Cricetulus griseus: one gene and its partners. The protein of the gene in region 1 interacts with the protein of each later gene in a pairwise test. Links are inferred from orthologs where the notes say so. Each region holds a gene or a part of one and is shown on either strand. Other genes may lie near its edges.

Region 1 (6,051 bases):
GTAGTAGCCCATAGTACTTTCCTCTCCCTGACTCTAGCTGTTGATAGTGTGGGTGCCAAAACATCTTAATCCTTCATGAAGTGTTTACTGAATGTCCAGTGACCAGAACACATCACAAAGACACTCTTAACATGCAAGCTCTCACCATACAAGCCAGATGCACAAGCCTGCGTCTTGGACAGATGAGAGTGGTGTGTGACCAATGAACCTGTCCCTTCTATACACTCCAAGGTCTCAGAAAGTTGCCCCCTCAAGACTCCCAGCCACTGCCCTGGGGCCTGCCCCTCCGTGGAAGAAATCCTATAGCCACAACTCTTCCAACCTCACCCTGAGTCTTCTAGAAGCTGGAGAAAAAAACACAGTGCAAGGTCCACCCCAGAAACTCTGAGTGAATAGCCACAGGCACACAAGGAGAACACCAGGAAGGGCACTGAAGGAGGATGCCCTTTCTTTCTGACTTCTCTGGCAAGAGCATCATAATTTCATTCCCAGCGTGTGGCAGGGATATTGAGAGGAGGGGAAAGAAGTGAGGTCTTGGCTCCAGACATCCATGGGACTGAGGATCTTTAAGTTATTCTAAGCCCTCTCTCTTCCCCCACACATTGCAGAGTTCTTAAGGCACCTTCCACCCCCGAAAGTTCCCCTTCTCCCTCCACCTGTGCCCGATCAACACCCCTCTTTCTGGTCAACTCTCACTGGCCTCTGGCCAGCTCCACTCTCTCCTGACCCCGTGTTATAACTTGTCCTTCTTCTCTTGGATATTTTTGACCATGAGGGGTGTTTTGGGCACTGCCTGACATCTCTTGAGTGCAACTCATTTCTACATCTCGTCCTGGAGAGCATGAAGTCAGAAAACCCCATGAAGATGCCATCACCAGCATCCCAGGGACAGAATCAGCACCTTCTTTTCTCCCCTGCTGCCCCCATGTGGGCCCATTTGGTATAGTTGATGGGGCCATAAGTCATGGGCAGGCAGGTGATGAATTAGTATGCTTCCTACAGAGCAGATCCTCCACCTGTTCTGGCCAGTCAATAAAGTTCAACCTACCACCAAGTGGTTGATGCTCCAAAGTGCTTTTGAAATCCACAGACCAACAGGGTGGCAGGCTAGGCAGCTGTCCCAAAGCAAAGACTCTCAGAGGAGTCAACCACACACTCCTGGGGTGGAGAAGGCAGATGTCAAGGAGAAAGACAAAACTGTCTACAAACAGATTCAAACTCACCTTTATCATAATCGCCATCCTCAACCGCTTTTTCTTGAAGTTTCTGAAGCTTTAAACTTAAGGAAGTGACCTGTGTTGAAGGGGAAACATGAGAAACAAATTACATGCAAGAAATTACATATAAGAGACAGATTACAAATAAATTCCAGTAAGTTCGTTTTGTGAAATCTAGAGCACCTAAAAACTATTTCAAGGATGGGCTGTCAAGATGGCTCCAGGGTGAAGGCCCTTACTGCCAAGCCTGAGAACCTGAGTTGGGTCCCTAAGGCACACACAGTGGTAAAGGAGACCTGACTTCCACAAGTGTTCTCTGACCTCTACAAAAGTACCATGACACACACATGCACATAAATAGAAATTGTAGTAAAAACTATAAGTCCTGAAAAGCATTACCATTTTTAAAAGGGAAACTATTTTTAAAGTAAACTTTTATTTAAACTATTTTTAAAAAATACACACACACACAAATATACAGTTTTCCAATGTCAAATGCGTGTTTCTTTAAAAAAAAAAAAAAAAAGTTCCTTGAACAAAAAAGCCTAATTTAGCATGAAATCCCCAGAAAGATTTAGAATGCCACAAATACCACAATGCTATGTCATTATCAGCATGAAGAGCTTTGTGGAGAGAAGGAACACAGACGCAGGCCAAATGACCTCTGCTCTGACCCTCAGAGCATAGCCATCAGGTAAACATGGGGACTAAAAGAGTAGCCAAGAGGAGGCGGGCATGGACCACAGCTGTCTCCAAGCTAGCCAGCCCAGGATGGGGGGCAGCCCTGCTTGAAGGGTCCACGCGGAAGGTTCTGTCTTGGGCTGGACTTGTAGCTCAGGTAGTATGCACCTAGCATGCACAAGGACCTAATTCTATCCCCAGCACAGGAAGCATAGAACGGGGAGAAGAAAGGAAGGAAAAGAAAGTGGAGAGCCACCAGCAGCCATGCCTGCCTTCCTTTGCAGAACAACTTCTAAACACTGAAGCTGGGTGCTGGGGAGATGGATGGATCAGTAAAGTTCTTGCCTTGAAAGTATAAGGACCTGAGTTCAATGCTCAGAACTCACACACACACACACACACACACACAGTGACCCATGCTTGTGATCCCAGCTCTCTCTGGGGAAGAAGGCAGGAGAATCTCTGAGGTTCACTGGCCTAAATAGTGCACTCCACAACAGTGACAGGAAGTTAAGTTGATACTCAAAGTTGTTTTCCAGCCTATACACACACACACACACACACACACACACACACACACACACACACTCACTCACTCACACCAAAATAAAACCATCTCTTTGTAGGACGATCCGCACAGCCCAGGAGGAAGTGAAGCAAAGCAGGGGAGGGTGGGGCCCACTTTCATTCTTTCCAAACTTCAGCTGATCAGCCCCCTTACCCTCCCAGTGTCTTATTTTATCACATTTATTTACTGCATGGCCAAGGGAGATGGCAATTTACAGGAGTCAGCTCTCCCCTTCCACCATGTGGGTCCTGGGAATCAAACTCAGGTTACAGGCTTTGCAGCAAGTGCCTTTTCCCACCGAGCCATCTTCCCAGTCCCCAGTGTCCTATTTCAAAAGCAGAGTTATGCTGAACAACCAGCACTGCAGGTCAAAGGTTGTGGAGAAGTGTGGGCCCCATCAGTGAGTACATGCTAGCACCTAAGCCACACAGACGGAAAGCAGAGAGCATAGCACCCATGTTCAGATGCAGAGGAGACAGAAGTGCTGCCACATCTTTTCAGTCAGCCACCCCAGGAGGCACTGCAGCTTCCAGGAACAGCGCTCAGTCGGCTGCCCACTCCCTGCCTCCACCCAGCACTGAGTTGGAGTAACAGTCTCCTGAAGGACACACACCTCCAGCTGCCTGCGGTTGCTCAATAGATAGTCCTGTAGCACCGGCTCCCATTTGCTGATCAAAGCATCCCATCCACAGGTATCCGCCCCGCTGCTGCCCTGGTCGCCCCACCCACTGGCTGAAGACAGATCCTGGGAAGAGAAGCCAGTGTCCGAGGAGGAGGCCATGTCACATTCCAGCTTGCTATTGCTCCCTGTCACCTGATCCAAGTCCACCAAACCTGGAGTGGCTTGAAGACTGAAGGTCCAGAGATGTCGAGGGTCCTCATGGGGCCTGTCTGAACTGGATGCTCCAGCTGCCATCTCTTGGGGGCTCTGATGAAGGGATTCGACCTCTCGGGATGGTAGGCAACCTTCTGCTTCCCCACGTTCTCCAGCAGCACCAAGGGAGAGTCGGATGAAGCTAAAGCTGGAAGTAAAGGTGTCTTGGGAGCCAGGAAGAACTGGGATGTCAGCAAGGCCATTCAACTCTAGTGATGGCAGAGGCTTCACAGTCTTCAGGCCCCTTGAGCCCTCACTCAAGGCTACATCAAGGCTAGGGGCCAGGGACTTGGAGCTGTCAGGAGATAAAAAGTCTTGTCTACATCCACTGTCCCCAGGCCTACATGGCCTGGTCAGCCTCTCAAGTAGTTTGTTGCCATTTCTGGAATGAACCCCAAAGCGCACTGGTGTTTCTCTCATAGAGCTCTGATCTGGGTGCAAGTGGCCCACAGAGGCCACAGCAGGGGCAAGCAAGCTCTTGAGCAAAGGGCTGCCCACCACCTGACAGCGGCCGCTGGGGCTGAGGCCACACTGCCCAGTCTTAGTCTGTGAGTAGTAGGACTCCTGGCCTGCCAGTCGTGCCGAGGTCTGGCATGGCATGCCCGCTGCTGGAGAGAGGAACCCGATCCCCGGACCGGCTGTGCTTCTCATGTAGCCTGGTCTCCGTGTCAGCCTCTGCCTCTGAGGGGCTGCTCCAGGCGGTGAGCCGTGCCCACTGTCTGAGAACAAGAGAAAACAATACATGTTACTGACTTAGTAGGAACTGCATGTGGCAGATATGCTAAACATACAAGTCATCTGTGAGTACACCTGTCAAAGGCACAGCATGAAAACTCTTACGACCCCTAGCCAGGCATGGTGGAACATACCCATAAAACCAGTACTTGGGACATGAGGGTAGAAAGACCAGGAGTTCAAGGTCATCCTCAGAAACACAGGGAGTTCAAAGCTAGCCTGAGCCACATGATACCCTGTCTTTAAAAATTAAAAGAAAGAAAGTTGGTGTCCCTCTGCTGATGCCCAGGTCAGCACAGCATCCCAGCCCTTGGTTGGCAAAGAAGCAGGCCCTGCTGTATGTCTAACAACATGTCAGTACAGATCTTGGGGCACAGCCTTAGTAGTTCCCCAGCAACTGTCATAGAGCCAATGATGTATCACTTGTCCATCCAGAAGAGGGCTTGGGAAGCGAGCAACCTGATACCAAAATATCAGCGTGTGACTCATTCCAGTCACTACTGAAAGACACTTGGATTTTCATTATCCAACTATCCATGACATTACTTTCCCAATGCATTCCTGAGGCCTTATGGCTGACTGTGGTACAAAGGCCGTCCATCCTTCCATCTCATACACTAAACCTGTATGAGTCCTCACCTAGCTATCCTGGAGAAATAGGAACAGTGACAACTGCTGCCACCTCACTGTCTGGTCCAAACCTGACTATACCACCTGATGACTGTGTGACCTTCTACAAGCTATTCAACTTCTCTGTGCCTCAGTTTCCTCCTCAGTAAAGGGGGTATAGAAGGACTCCTTGTAAAAGTTCTTGTAAGCATCAGTATAAACAGTTTAGAACAGGGCCTGAAACATATAAATATGATAAAAATGTTAGTTACAGGACTGGGGAGATGGCTTAGCAGGTAAAGTATTCACTGTGCAAGCATGAGAACCTGAATCTCCAGAACCTTCAATCTCCAGAACCCAGGTTAAAAAAAAAATGCCAGGCATGATGGCACATTCTTGCAATCCCAGTGCTGAGAAGACAGAGACAGGAGGATTCCTGAAGTTCACTCACCAGACAGTGTAGCCAAATTGATGAGCTATAAGTTCAGTGATGAACTCTGCCTCAAAAAATTAAAGATAGAGTGTCTGGAGAGCTGGCTCAGTGGTTAAGGTAGCAACTAGGTGCCAAGTAACCTTGCTAGCACCAACTTCAAAGAAATGGACTAGAAGAGAAGCTTGTTCAGCCCCACATTATGCCAACAGAAATGCCAAGGGCAGGTTTTCTAAGGCCACCATCTTCAAGATGTAGATGGGCTTCTACTCCACAAGAGCACTTGTTGCTCTTGCAGAGGACCTGGATTCAGTTCCCAGAACCCACAGGGCAGCTCACAACCATCCATAACTCCAGTTCCAGGGGATCCAATGCCCACATCTGACTTCCCCAAGCACCAAGCACTACTGTGGCACATATAGTACATGCAGAAAATACATTCATACACATAAAGTGACTAAATCAAAACACAATTTTTAAAAATTAAAGGTGAGGAAAGACATCTAATGTTGCCCTTCAATCTCCACATCTCATGGGCATGGACACACACACAAATGTATTCCCATTAACAAGGACATACACCACACTCACAAATACCACACCGTATACACACACAAAGCTGAGTGTGGTGGCACACACCTGCAACCACAGCTCTGAGGAAGTAGAGAGAAAGAGGATACCTACTGTTCACTATGCAAGCAGCCTAGCCTAATTGGCAAGTTCCTGGTCCCCAGGAAAGACCCTGTCTTACACATACCTGGAATAATAATTAGAAGTTGGTGATAACTACTGCGGACCCAGGTATGACCTCCCAAAGCCTGGCTCAGTCCTGATCCTTGTCTTCTTCAAAGTTCACCCTTTCTCTGGTGAACCCAAAACTGGGATGATGACTTCAGTGACAGGCAGTCAAAAGACAGATTTCTGTTCCTTGTTAGGT
Region 2 (4,549 bases), on another chromosome or scaffold:
ACAAAGTAGTAGAGATCAAGTATGATCTTTATTTTCTTGACTTCAAAGCCAGTGGGTAAGGGGGTTATTCCTTCCTCCACGAGAGTTAAGGAAGGTTCAAGAGCCAAGTCCTTGAAGATTTATCAGGACAATGCTTCAATTTCCCAACTCACCCAAGTGTGCAACTTGAAACAGCTTCCTTCTACCCAGCACCATGAAAGGGAACCCAAGAGTGGCCAAAAGGGGGAGCCAAAGCCCACGTAGGTAAGTTAGCATCTGCAAACCAGTAGATACTGAAGACTTTAGAGAAATGGCAACCCTAGTCCAAGGGCTCAAAGCAGAACCAAAGAACCTTTGTAAGCAAGCATCCAGTAAGAGTGCTCAGCTTCCATACCCTCCTGGCAAACTTGTGTTTAATACTGCATCCCAAAGCCACCACAGGACTCCTCTTTGGGATCAAGAATACTTTCAAAGATTCTAAGTTTCAAGTAAGCCCCAGGTTTCCCACTTAGGGCTTCCTGTCTGATGGTGTGACTGAAGCTTGCTATGGATGATAGTGACTCATTTTCATTCATCACTATGGCATTTATTAGCCTTTCTTGCCCCCTCCTGCAATGCCAGGGCTGGAACCCAGTAGCCTATGCACAATTGGCAAACATTCTTAGCTTGCATTGCTGAGCTACACCTGTGGGCTTCTTAAATCTTTTAGAATGCTCAGGAAGAATTCTTATCTCCTGGCTCTGTCCTGTAAGGCCACTAGTATGTTCACAGTTTCTAAGACTTTGGTTAATGGCTGGCTAAAAGAGGATCAAGGAGGATTCCCATGGTGCAAGGCAGATTGCTGTCAGGAGCTTAAACAGGATAGAGGGTAAGCAAAGCAAGACATTATAGGCCCAGGGCTCAATATTGGGTGTACCAGGTATACCTCCTTAAGCAGAGCACCAATGAAACCAATGGGGACCATACAGAGCCTCTATTGCCCTTTCCTGATCACCCCAGAAGTTGAGGTGAGGAAGAGGACAAAAGCAATCCCTTAGTTCCTACCTGTTCTAATGAAAAGTATATAGCTGGGAGAGACGTCTGAGAGAACTGCTTGGAGTGGCCCCAGTAGTTGGATGTTTAGAGGTCGAGTTGGGTTTCTAATATTTCATGGAAAACAGAATCATCAATGTGGTGCTGATGGAAAGCAAGGTCCTGCAATCTGGGATTCATCTGCATTGGTACCTGCAACTTTGGGTTGGAAACTTTCTAGTACCTGAGCTTCAAGCAACAAGAATACTTTGGGGTTTTGAAGACAGAATCCGATGGTGGACTAATTAGCTATCTACAAGTATCAGAGATCAGCTTTATGAAATGGAGTGTCAGGAACGGAGTCTTAGCTTCACTAAAGTCTACTATTGTGTTTCTATCATCTGTCTGCCTGCCTACCTACCTACATATCTACTTATCTATCCATCTAGTTTCTCATGTGTGTGTTCTATGTGCAGAGGCCAGAGGAAGATGTCAGGTATCTGTCTCTATCACTCTCTATCTTATTGTTTTGGGGGCAGAGACTCTCACTGAACTTGAAGTTTGTTCTTTTGGCTAGGCTGGCTGACTGGCTAGCAAGTCCTAGGACTCTGCCTGCCCTTAATCCCCAACACTGGGGTTACAGGCCTTTTATGTGGGTGCTGCGGATTTGAATTCAGTTCATCTTGCTCGCATAGCAAGCGCTCTTATGTATTGAACCATCTCCTCAGACCCTACCTTAGTGTCTTAACACATGAAACTTGGACTAATGGACTTTTTTTATCAAAATATTTAGCTGTTGGCTTTAAAAGTTAACAGCCTTGGAAACAGCCAGAATACAAATAAGAAGGTAGAATTCTATTAACTCTACCTTCAGGTTTTGCTGGGGAGACAAGGGTAGGCAGATTGCTCAGTAAGCTGTCTTGGCAGATTCACATGTATGATACTTGCTGCATCCTCTATAGAACGTACAGGGATCTCTTTTAAGTTCTGTTGATTAGCCGGGGCTGCTCTGAGTGGAACTGATGAGTGTAGACTTACTACTTATTGTCCAGGGCCCCTCAGTTACCTGTGCAATGACTTCAGGGTCCACGGGCCGATGGTTATTGAAGCTTTTTGACCTTCCCGCAGTGGCAGTCTTCCGGATCTGTGGACTGTCCAGCCTGTTCTTCAGGGATGAGTGGCGGCTGATAGAGTTGAGGCTCCCATGGCCGCTGATGGAACACTTATCAGGCCCTTCCTTGGGGAGATTCTGGCTCATGATGGGCTGAGAGGATGGACGGCAGCTAGCCCCCACCCCCGGGGAGGAGGAGTCAGTCAGAGAACTGCCCAGCCCATGGCTGTCACTCCGAAATGTTTTTCTGATGCTCCCAGATTCTGGACGCTTCCTTTGCCTTCAACAAACAGAAACGGCATCTGATCAGGAAGCCCTGGGTCCAATGAGCTGGGATTGTGACAGGGGGCAGAGGCTGGCACCTGGGACATCTAAAGAAAGTCACACAGAATACTCTATCTCTTCAGTTTTTCTTTCTCTTGTTTTCTCTATGGTTCTGTTCCCTCCAACCCCCAACCTGGGCAGAGGTGAAATGGATACTTACTTGGTGGTTGTGAGCTTTGAGTTCTAACCATGTAAGATGCTGTCAGAAAAAAAATTGCCTGTTCAAGAGAAAGTTTCTAATGGGAGAAAGATTCATGAAAAGACCCACTCCATTGCCTGCATGAACAGAAACCCAAGCCCCAGGTGACAAAGTCTCGCCATCACCAAGGAGGAAAGTCTCACCATCACCAAGGAGGGGGAGAACTTCTAGCAATAGGAGTTAACTTTTCCACATTTCAGTTTGCTCAACTATACTACAGCAAGTCCGTCATCATCTGGGCTCTGGCAAGAGGCTATTTCTTGTTCATAGACATGGAAGAGATTTTTCAAGGAACTGCAGTGGCACAGACAGAGGGTTCACTGTGTGCCTGATCTTAGGGTAGAAAGGGCATCTACACAACTCCTATGTCACCCAGCACTGGGCCAATTCATTTCATACCACAAAAGGCTCTCAAATGATGTGATGTAGTGGGATCCTAGCCATATGGGTTATTGCCTGATGCTGAATAATTTTATTTTTCTGAACCAGACTTTAAAGGACCTCATCTAAGATGCCATCAAGCTGCTAGTTCAGATAGCAGCTGTGTAGCTCTGATCTCGACTCTACTGAGGAAGATGGGATGAGCTGGGGATCGGGATGGTAATGGTAGGACTGCAGATTGGGGGCCATCTCTTAAGCATAGATAATGCCTAAGTCATTTCTTGTGCTGCTTACAGCTTCGGTCTGCTTTATCTTTCTGGGTCTGGTAGGATGTGGCCCAGCAGCCTCTCTATGAATGTGGCTGCTAGGCAGGTCTAGCGTTGTAAGGCAGCCATTCTCAACCAGAAAAAGGATGCTCTTTAGTCTAGGAAGACCCTGCTGAAATGAGCCCTCCTTTGTCAAGTTTTCCATGACATTAGTACCTCCAACTGCAGACCGAAGAGATTCCTCCCTTCCAGGTTTCTCCAGTGCCTCCATACAACTGCTTTGCAGTTACCTTCCATATGGTCTTGTGCCTTGCCAGACTGTGAGCTCTGAACAGCTAGCACTGGTGCTTGGCACAAAGCAGATGGTTAATATAGGATGTGGAATTAAATCTAAATGCCACACCTAAGAACGCTGCTGATTTCCCTTTTCCTCTCAAGGATGGCTGACTCACAGATCAGAACTGCTGAGAAGGCAGACTTAGGGGACTGTGGTAGTGTCATCCCAGGCTCTATCTGGGGCATAAAGACAAGGAAGACAGAGAGGCTGATTTACAAGGAGCTCAGCCTGGAGGAGGAACCAGGCGTAGCACCAAGTACCAGCAACTCAAGCCATTTTGGAATGCAGAATGAGGGCATTGTTTTCAGCCCAAGGAACTCAGGGTGTAAGGAAGGTTTACCCAAATAGGTAAGTCTTGGAGGCTGAGGAGGAGTTAATCAAATGAGAGGGCCCAGGAGGAAAGAGTTCTCCAAGGCAATCAGGAAACTCAAGTTTCATGGGAGCACTGTTCTGGAGGCAGGCGGGAAGTCAGACTCACTCCTAAGAGCCAGGCATGTTAGGGCTGTCACTCATGCACTGATTGGCTGGTGCCCGGGAAAGCTTGAGTAGACCATGTTGACATGGTTTGGTTATGGTCTGTCCCCAGGAAATTCATCGTAAGAATCTTAATACCACCAAGCAAAGAGATCAAGGGAACAACCCTGACTTTCTACCAGATGTTTATCTTTTAACTATTCTAGCTTTTGTTCTCTGTAATTCCTTTGTATGAATGGTATCAAATACATGTTGACTTAAAATTTAATACCCAGGGCTGAAGCTGTAGCTCGGAAGTAGAATGCTCCATTTGTATATGTGACTTGTTGAGTTCTACCCCCAACGCCATAAAAAACAAAAACAAAGTGCCTAAATAAATATCTAGCTTCCCCTCCACTATCCAGTCTTGGTTTCTGGCTTAATAAGCTCATGGCCTTGTGATTGCAGACTCATAATTAACACAGACT
Region 3 (5,358 bases), on another chromosome or scaffold:
GGGAGGGAGAGGGGGAGGTTAGAAAGGAAGAGACTTTCTATACTCTGAATAGTTTTCTGTCAACTTAAGGTTTGAGGAAAGAATTTGGAGACAGATAAGAAAAGATATTCTAAGACTAGGCTCTTCAGATCAAACTTGGTAGAGTATAGCAAGACTTTTAAATTGCTGAACTTAATCTCATGTTTTCCCTTCCTAGGTTGAAACTGAACTCAAGTTAATCTGTTGTGACATTCTGGATGTACTGGACAAACACCTCATTCCAGCAGCTAACACTGGCGAGTCCAAGGTTTTCTATTATAAAATGTAGGTTCTATACTAGAAGGGAAAAATGTGAGATTTAAAGTTAGCCTTAGAACCATAACTTTTTAAATGTAGGTTTTCAGCTTTTGACTTTAAACAGTTGAATATTGGAGGGTTAGTTCCCAAGACTTAAAGTTTTAATTAGTTGCAAATACAGTACTAATGAAGAATTGATATTGTTGCACTTTACAAAATACCTATCTTTTGGTTGTTCCCACCTCCACTCTATCAACTTTCTAAGTGCTAGGATTATATGGCACCACACCTTGCCTGGGTTTTTTCTTTTGGGATTCCTTCCTCTTTCAGCTAAAGCTGTGAAGTTCACAGTATAATCTTAACTGTCTGTGGAGAAATTACAAAGCTGGGTATAGCTCAGGAATAGGAGGGGCTCATTGTGCTCAGGGCTCTAGGTGTCTCGTCACTGTAGTGACAGCAGCAAATGTGTATTGTGATTAATGAATGTGTGTGTTGTTCTTTGGAAACACTTTTATACTAGTTACATGATTTTGCTTGAGTTATATTCTGTGAAAGTTTCCCAATAATTTTTAATATGAAATCATTAAGGAAAGAGATGAGTCAAGCTGATGGATTCTGAAGTTGTTTTTAAAAAATGTCTTAATTGTTAACTGTATTTTGTCATGTACTACACGTCATGCTCCAAGAAGTATTTTCTAATTGTGGTTTTTATTTGCTGTTGTGTTGTAGGAAAGGGGACTACCACAGGTATCTGGCTGAGTTTGCCACAGGAAATGACAGGAAGGAGGCCGCAGAGAACAGCCTCGTGGCTTACAAAGCTGCTAGTGACATTGCGATGACAGAACTTCCTCCAACGCACCCCATTCGTTTAGGTCTTGCTCTCAACTTTTCCGTATTCTACTATGAAATTCTTAATTCCCCTGACCGTGCCTGCAGGTAAGTTATGGAAGAACCAAGTTCCTAGTGTGGAGTGCAGAGGTTCTAGAGGAGCTACCTTCTGTTTTCTTGTAGGTTGTCACAGGGTTCTGTTGACTTAATTTGTATGTATTAGTCTTCATTTAGTCTTTGAGTTACTTATGACAGGGTTTTGGTAGCAGGTATCTTGCCTAGCTTATCTTTGAATGTTCAGTTCTCATGTCTCATTCTCCCAATTGTTAGGTATCATAGACATTTACCACCCCACTTCTCTGGGAATGCATTTAATACTCTTGGTGAACTTTTTTGTTGTGGTTGTATTTTGAGACAGTTTTCCTATGTAGCCTTGGTTGTCCTAGAACTTGATCTGTAGACCAGGCTGTCCTGGAACCTAAAGAGATTAACCTGCCTCTGCCTCTCAAGTGCTGGGATAAAAGGCGAGTGCCACCACCTCCTGACAAGAACTTTTTTTTTTTTTTTTTTTTTTTTAATTTTCTGCTGGGCATTGATGGTGCACGCCTCTAATCCCAACACTCAGGAGGCAGAGGAAGGTGGATCTCTGTGAGTACGAGGCCAGCCTGGTCTACAGAACGAGTTCCAGGACAACTTCCAAAGCTATACAGAGACACCCTGACTCGAAAAACAAAACAAAAAAACAAACAAAAATTCTGTTTAATACGAACAACTATATTATCAGTCTCAGTGGTGTTTATGAAACTGTTGCCACACGAAAATTTCTGCACTTTTTTTGGGGGTGTGTGTGTATGTGGGTCCATAGCATGGCAGATGAAAGTCTGAACAACTTACAATTAGGGACATCACATAGTTGTGAGCAAATTTCGGGTGCTGGAAATTGAACTTGGATCCCATGGAAGGGCAGTAAATGTACTTAACTGTTGAGATTTGTTTAAATGCAAATTAAGGATTGTTGTACTGGTAAACATGTATACTACAAAGAATTCATTGTAACCATTTTCATGTGTGTACTTGAGAGGAGTTTAATATGCTCACAATTTTTTATGACCTTTAGTACTAGCCATTTCATCACTTTCACCACTTGACCCAAACTAAGCTTTAGTAACTCCACTCCCCAGTCTCTTCTAACCTGAATTTGTTTGTTCTTGGCATCTTATATAAGTAGAATTGTATCTGTCCCTTTCTGTCTACTCTATTAATTTCTTGGTAACAGTATCTGTAGATCTTCTATCCTGGGGCAGTGACTTATGCCTGTAATCCCAGTCTTCAAGAGACTGAGGCAGGAGGATGGGTGCAGTTGAAGCCAGCCTAGGTTACAGTGTGAAACCCTGTCTCAATCTTCCTCTTCCAAAAGCTGGGTGTGAAGGTCCATCCCTGTGATTCCAGTGCTCTGAAGGTGGAGGCAGGACAACTAGGCATTCAAAGTCAGCTAGGGCTATAGGAGACACTGAATAAAACAAAACAATTTTTTTTCCTCTTCTTTTCCTTTAGGAGAGGGTAGTTGGGTTCTGAATTGTATCCATTGTAGGTATGTGCCACAATTGTGTCTTATCCAAAGACACTTGAACCTTTTTGGATTTTCTAGGCAGGGTTTCTCTGTGTAGCTTTGGCTGTCCTTAGAACTCAATCAGTACAGACAAAGCTGGCCTAGAACTCAAAGAGATCCTACTACCTCTGCCTTCCGAACGCTGGGATTAAAGGCTTGTGCCACCACTGCCTGGCAGGAAAATATCTTTGTCACAAATGTATTTTGGTGGAGGTTGGACTATATAGATTATTTTCAGTCTAGCCTATTTGTAATAGTTCATGTAATTAAAAATTAGTGCCTTGGGGCTAGAGAAATGGCTCAGTGTTAAAGAATATGTTCTTTTAGGGTACCTGAGTTTATTTCCAGCACCTGCATGAAGCAGCTCACAGATGCCTATGACTCCAGCTCCAGGGGATCTGTTGCTTCCAGCCTCATCTCTGACACCTGTTCTCTTGTACATATAAATACAAATACATATTATCAAAAATAGTAAATCTTGGCTGGGTGGTGGTGGTGCACACCTTTAATCCCAGCGTGAGGAGGCAGAGACAAGTGGATTTCTTGTGAGTTCGAGGCCAGCCTGATTTGTAGAGTGAGTTCCAGGACAGCCAGGGCAACACAGAGAAACCCTCTCTGGAAAAACTAACCTTTTTTTTTTTTTCTTAGCTGAGTGAGGTGGTCCATGCTTGTAATCATACCACCTAAAAGACTGAGGCAATTTATGTAGTTGCTTTGAGATAGTCTCACTGTGTCACTCCAGATGGCATGGAACTAGATCTTGTCTCCATGTACTGTTTGTTAGCTCTCTTTGCTAGGCTTGAAATTTCAAGGGTTTGTATAGGAAGATGTTTAAAATGCAACACGAGCATCTCTAGTGATGCCCAACTAGGTAGGGATGCTTGTTATCAAGCCTGATTAGCCTGAGTTCAGTCCTTGGGATCTATGTGATGGAGGGAGAGGCAGCTGTGACAGGTTGTCATCTGACCTTCAGGTGCATCCATACAAAATTCTACAAATACATCTTTAAAAAGTTTTTTTTTTTAATTAAAAGCAGGCTGAACAAAAATACAGTCTTACATGTTTTTATTCAAAGTTATCTTTCAGCATTTGTCTCTGTTACCTTTATAGCACTGGAGAACCGAGAAATAGCCCATTGTTCCTATCTTTATTGTTAATTGAATGCTGACGATGCATTTATTTCAGGTTGGCAAAAGCAGCTTTTGATGACGCAATTGCAGAACTGGACACGCTGAGTGAAGAAAGCTATAAGGACTCTACACTTATCATGCAGCTGCTACGTGATAACCTGACGCTCTGGACCTCAGACATGCAGGGTGATGGTGAGCAAGCTCAGATGTTTCTCTTTGGTGGTTGCCTCTTCTAAGAACTCTTGGTGTTTCTTAATCTTTGTGTAATTTTCAGTCATAGCCTGTCTGCAGTAGTTGAAGTTCATTCCTTCTGTAGGGAATGATGCCCAATTGTCATTTTGGCCCTTGATAGAAAGTAAAAGGCCTATTTGACAATTTCATTCCTGTGTAGAAATATAATGCAAATATTTAAAACTGTAAAAGTTTTGCCTTTAATAATGGGGTTTTTTTAGTACTCGTACTGCTTTAGTCGTTGTAGGGACAAAATGACAGGAAACCATTTCTTTTTTACTTTATTTTTTTTTTAAACTTACATTGTTTTGTCTTATGTGTTTTGACTATTTTTCCTACGTGTGTCTGTGTACTGCATGAATGTCCTCAGAGGCCAGAAGAAGGCAATGATGAATCTCCTAGAATAGGAGTTAACAGATGGTTTGTAAGCAGCCTCCATGTGGGTGCTGGGAATTGATCTTGGGTGCTTTAGAAGAGTAGGCAGTGCTCTTAACTACTGAGATCTCTCTCTATCCCCCATCATTCCTTTTACCTTTCCGAAATTCAACTGGGGGGGGTAGCAAAGGTTGTTTATGAAACTATCTGGTGTTAGTAGGCATTAATGAAATATCTCTTGTGTGTGGGGTCTCCAAACCTCAGACCTGTGTGTGCCAGGTACCTATTTCACCTCTTACTGTACCCTGGTCCCTGTGTAGAAATCTTTTTCTCTAAAAAGCGACTATTTTCCTCTAGGGTTCTACGAGAAATAAAATGATCTTCCTTAGGTCCATGCTTAAGAGTTCTGGTATTGTCTGGTCTTAGATTTTTATTTGCAAAATTACTGTTTTGGGGGAAGTAATTGCTGTTTGTGGGAATGCATGTATAAATTTTAACTTCAAATAGAAAAGTTGAAGTTTGTTGAATTTGTTGATTTTGTTTTTTAAAGGCGTGTGTGTGTGTGCCTGTGTGTAGGTAGTACAATCCAGACCCTTGTGCATGCTAAGCACATGTTCTAACACTTAGCTTTATCTTTTTTTGTTTCTTTGTTTTTTGTTATTGTTGTTGTTTTTTTTTTAGAGGCAGGGTTTTTTTGTGTAACATTAGATGTCCTAGAACTAGCTCTGTAGACCAGGCTGGCCTCGAACTCATAGCCATCTGCCTGCCTCTGCTTCCCAAGTGCTGGGGTTAAAGACCTGGGCCACCACTGCTTGGCCAGAGGTAGGTTTTATTTGGGATTGATGACAAAATTACTATTATTATGAGTTAGTTTTATATACTTGGTGTAGGGAATTGGCAACAAAGTTT

The links. The genes of interacting proteins can lie anywhere in the genome.
Region 2: the proteins of Disc1 (region 1) and Srgap2 interact in a two-hybrid assay, tested with the Homo sapiens proteins (2 studies listed by BioGRID and IntAct). The link is inferred for Cricetulus griseus from reciprocal best matches to the Homo sapiens genes DISC1 and SRGAP2.
Region 3: the proteins of Disc1 (region 1) and 14-3-3 protein epsilon interact in binary tests that used the Homo sapiens proteins (3 or more experiments, as listed by UniProt). The link is inferred for Cricetulus griseus from reciprocal best matches to the Homo sapiens genes DISC1 and YWHAE.

What each region holds. Positions count from the first base shown.
Region 1 is NC_048596.1:201,839,295-201,845,345, reverse strand, and holds the start of Disc1 (disrupted in schizophrenia 1 protein), read right to left. Parts: upstream 4,085-6,051; coding exon 3,080-4,084; intron 1,294-3,079; coding exon 1,224-1,293; intron 1-1,223. UniProt on the Homo sapiens protein: Involved in the regulation of multiple aspects of embryonic and adult neurogenesis. Required for neural progenitor proliferation in the ventrical/subventrical zone during embryonic brain development and in the adult dentate gyrus of the hippocampus.
Region 2 is NC_048598.1:57,758,566-57,763,114, reverse strand, and holds part of Srgap2 (SLIT-ROBO Rho GTPase-activating protein 2), read right to left. Parts: intron 2,382-4,549; coding exon 2,057-2,381; intron 1,119-2,056; coding exon of another isoform or gene 1,029-1,118; exon of another isoform or gene 1,014-1,028; intron 1-1,013. UniProt on the Homo sapiens protein: Postsynaptic RAC1 GTPase activating protein (GAP) that plays a key role in neuronal morphogenesis and migration mainly during development of the cerebral cortex. Regulates excitatory and inhibitory synapse maturation and density in cortical pyramidal neurons.
Region 3 is NC_048600.1:89,211,631-89,216,988, forward strand, and holds part of 14-3-3 protein epsilon, read left to right. Parts: intron 1-196; coding exon 197-303; intron 304-1,005; coding exon 1,006-1,212; intron 1,213-3,898; coding exon 3,899-4,035; intron 4,036-5,358. UniProt on the Homo sapiens protein: Adapter protein implicated in the regulation of a large spectrum of both general and specialized signaling pathways. Binds to a large number of partners, usually by recognition of a phosphoserine or phosphothreonine motif.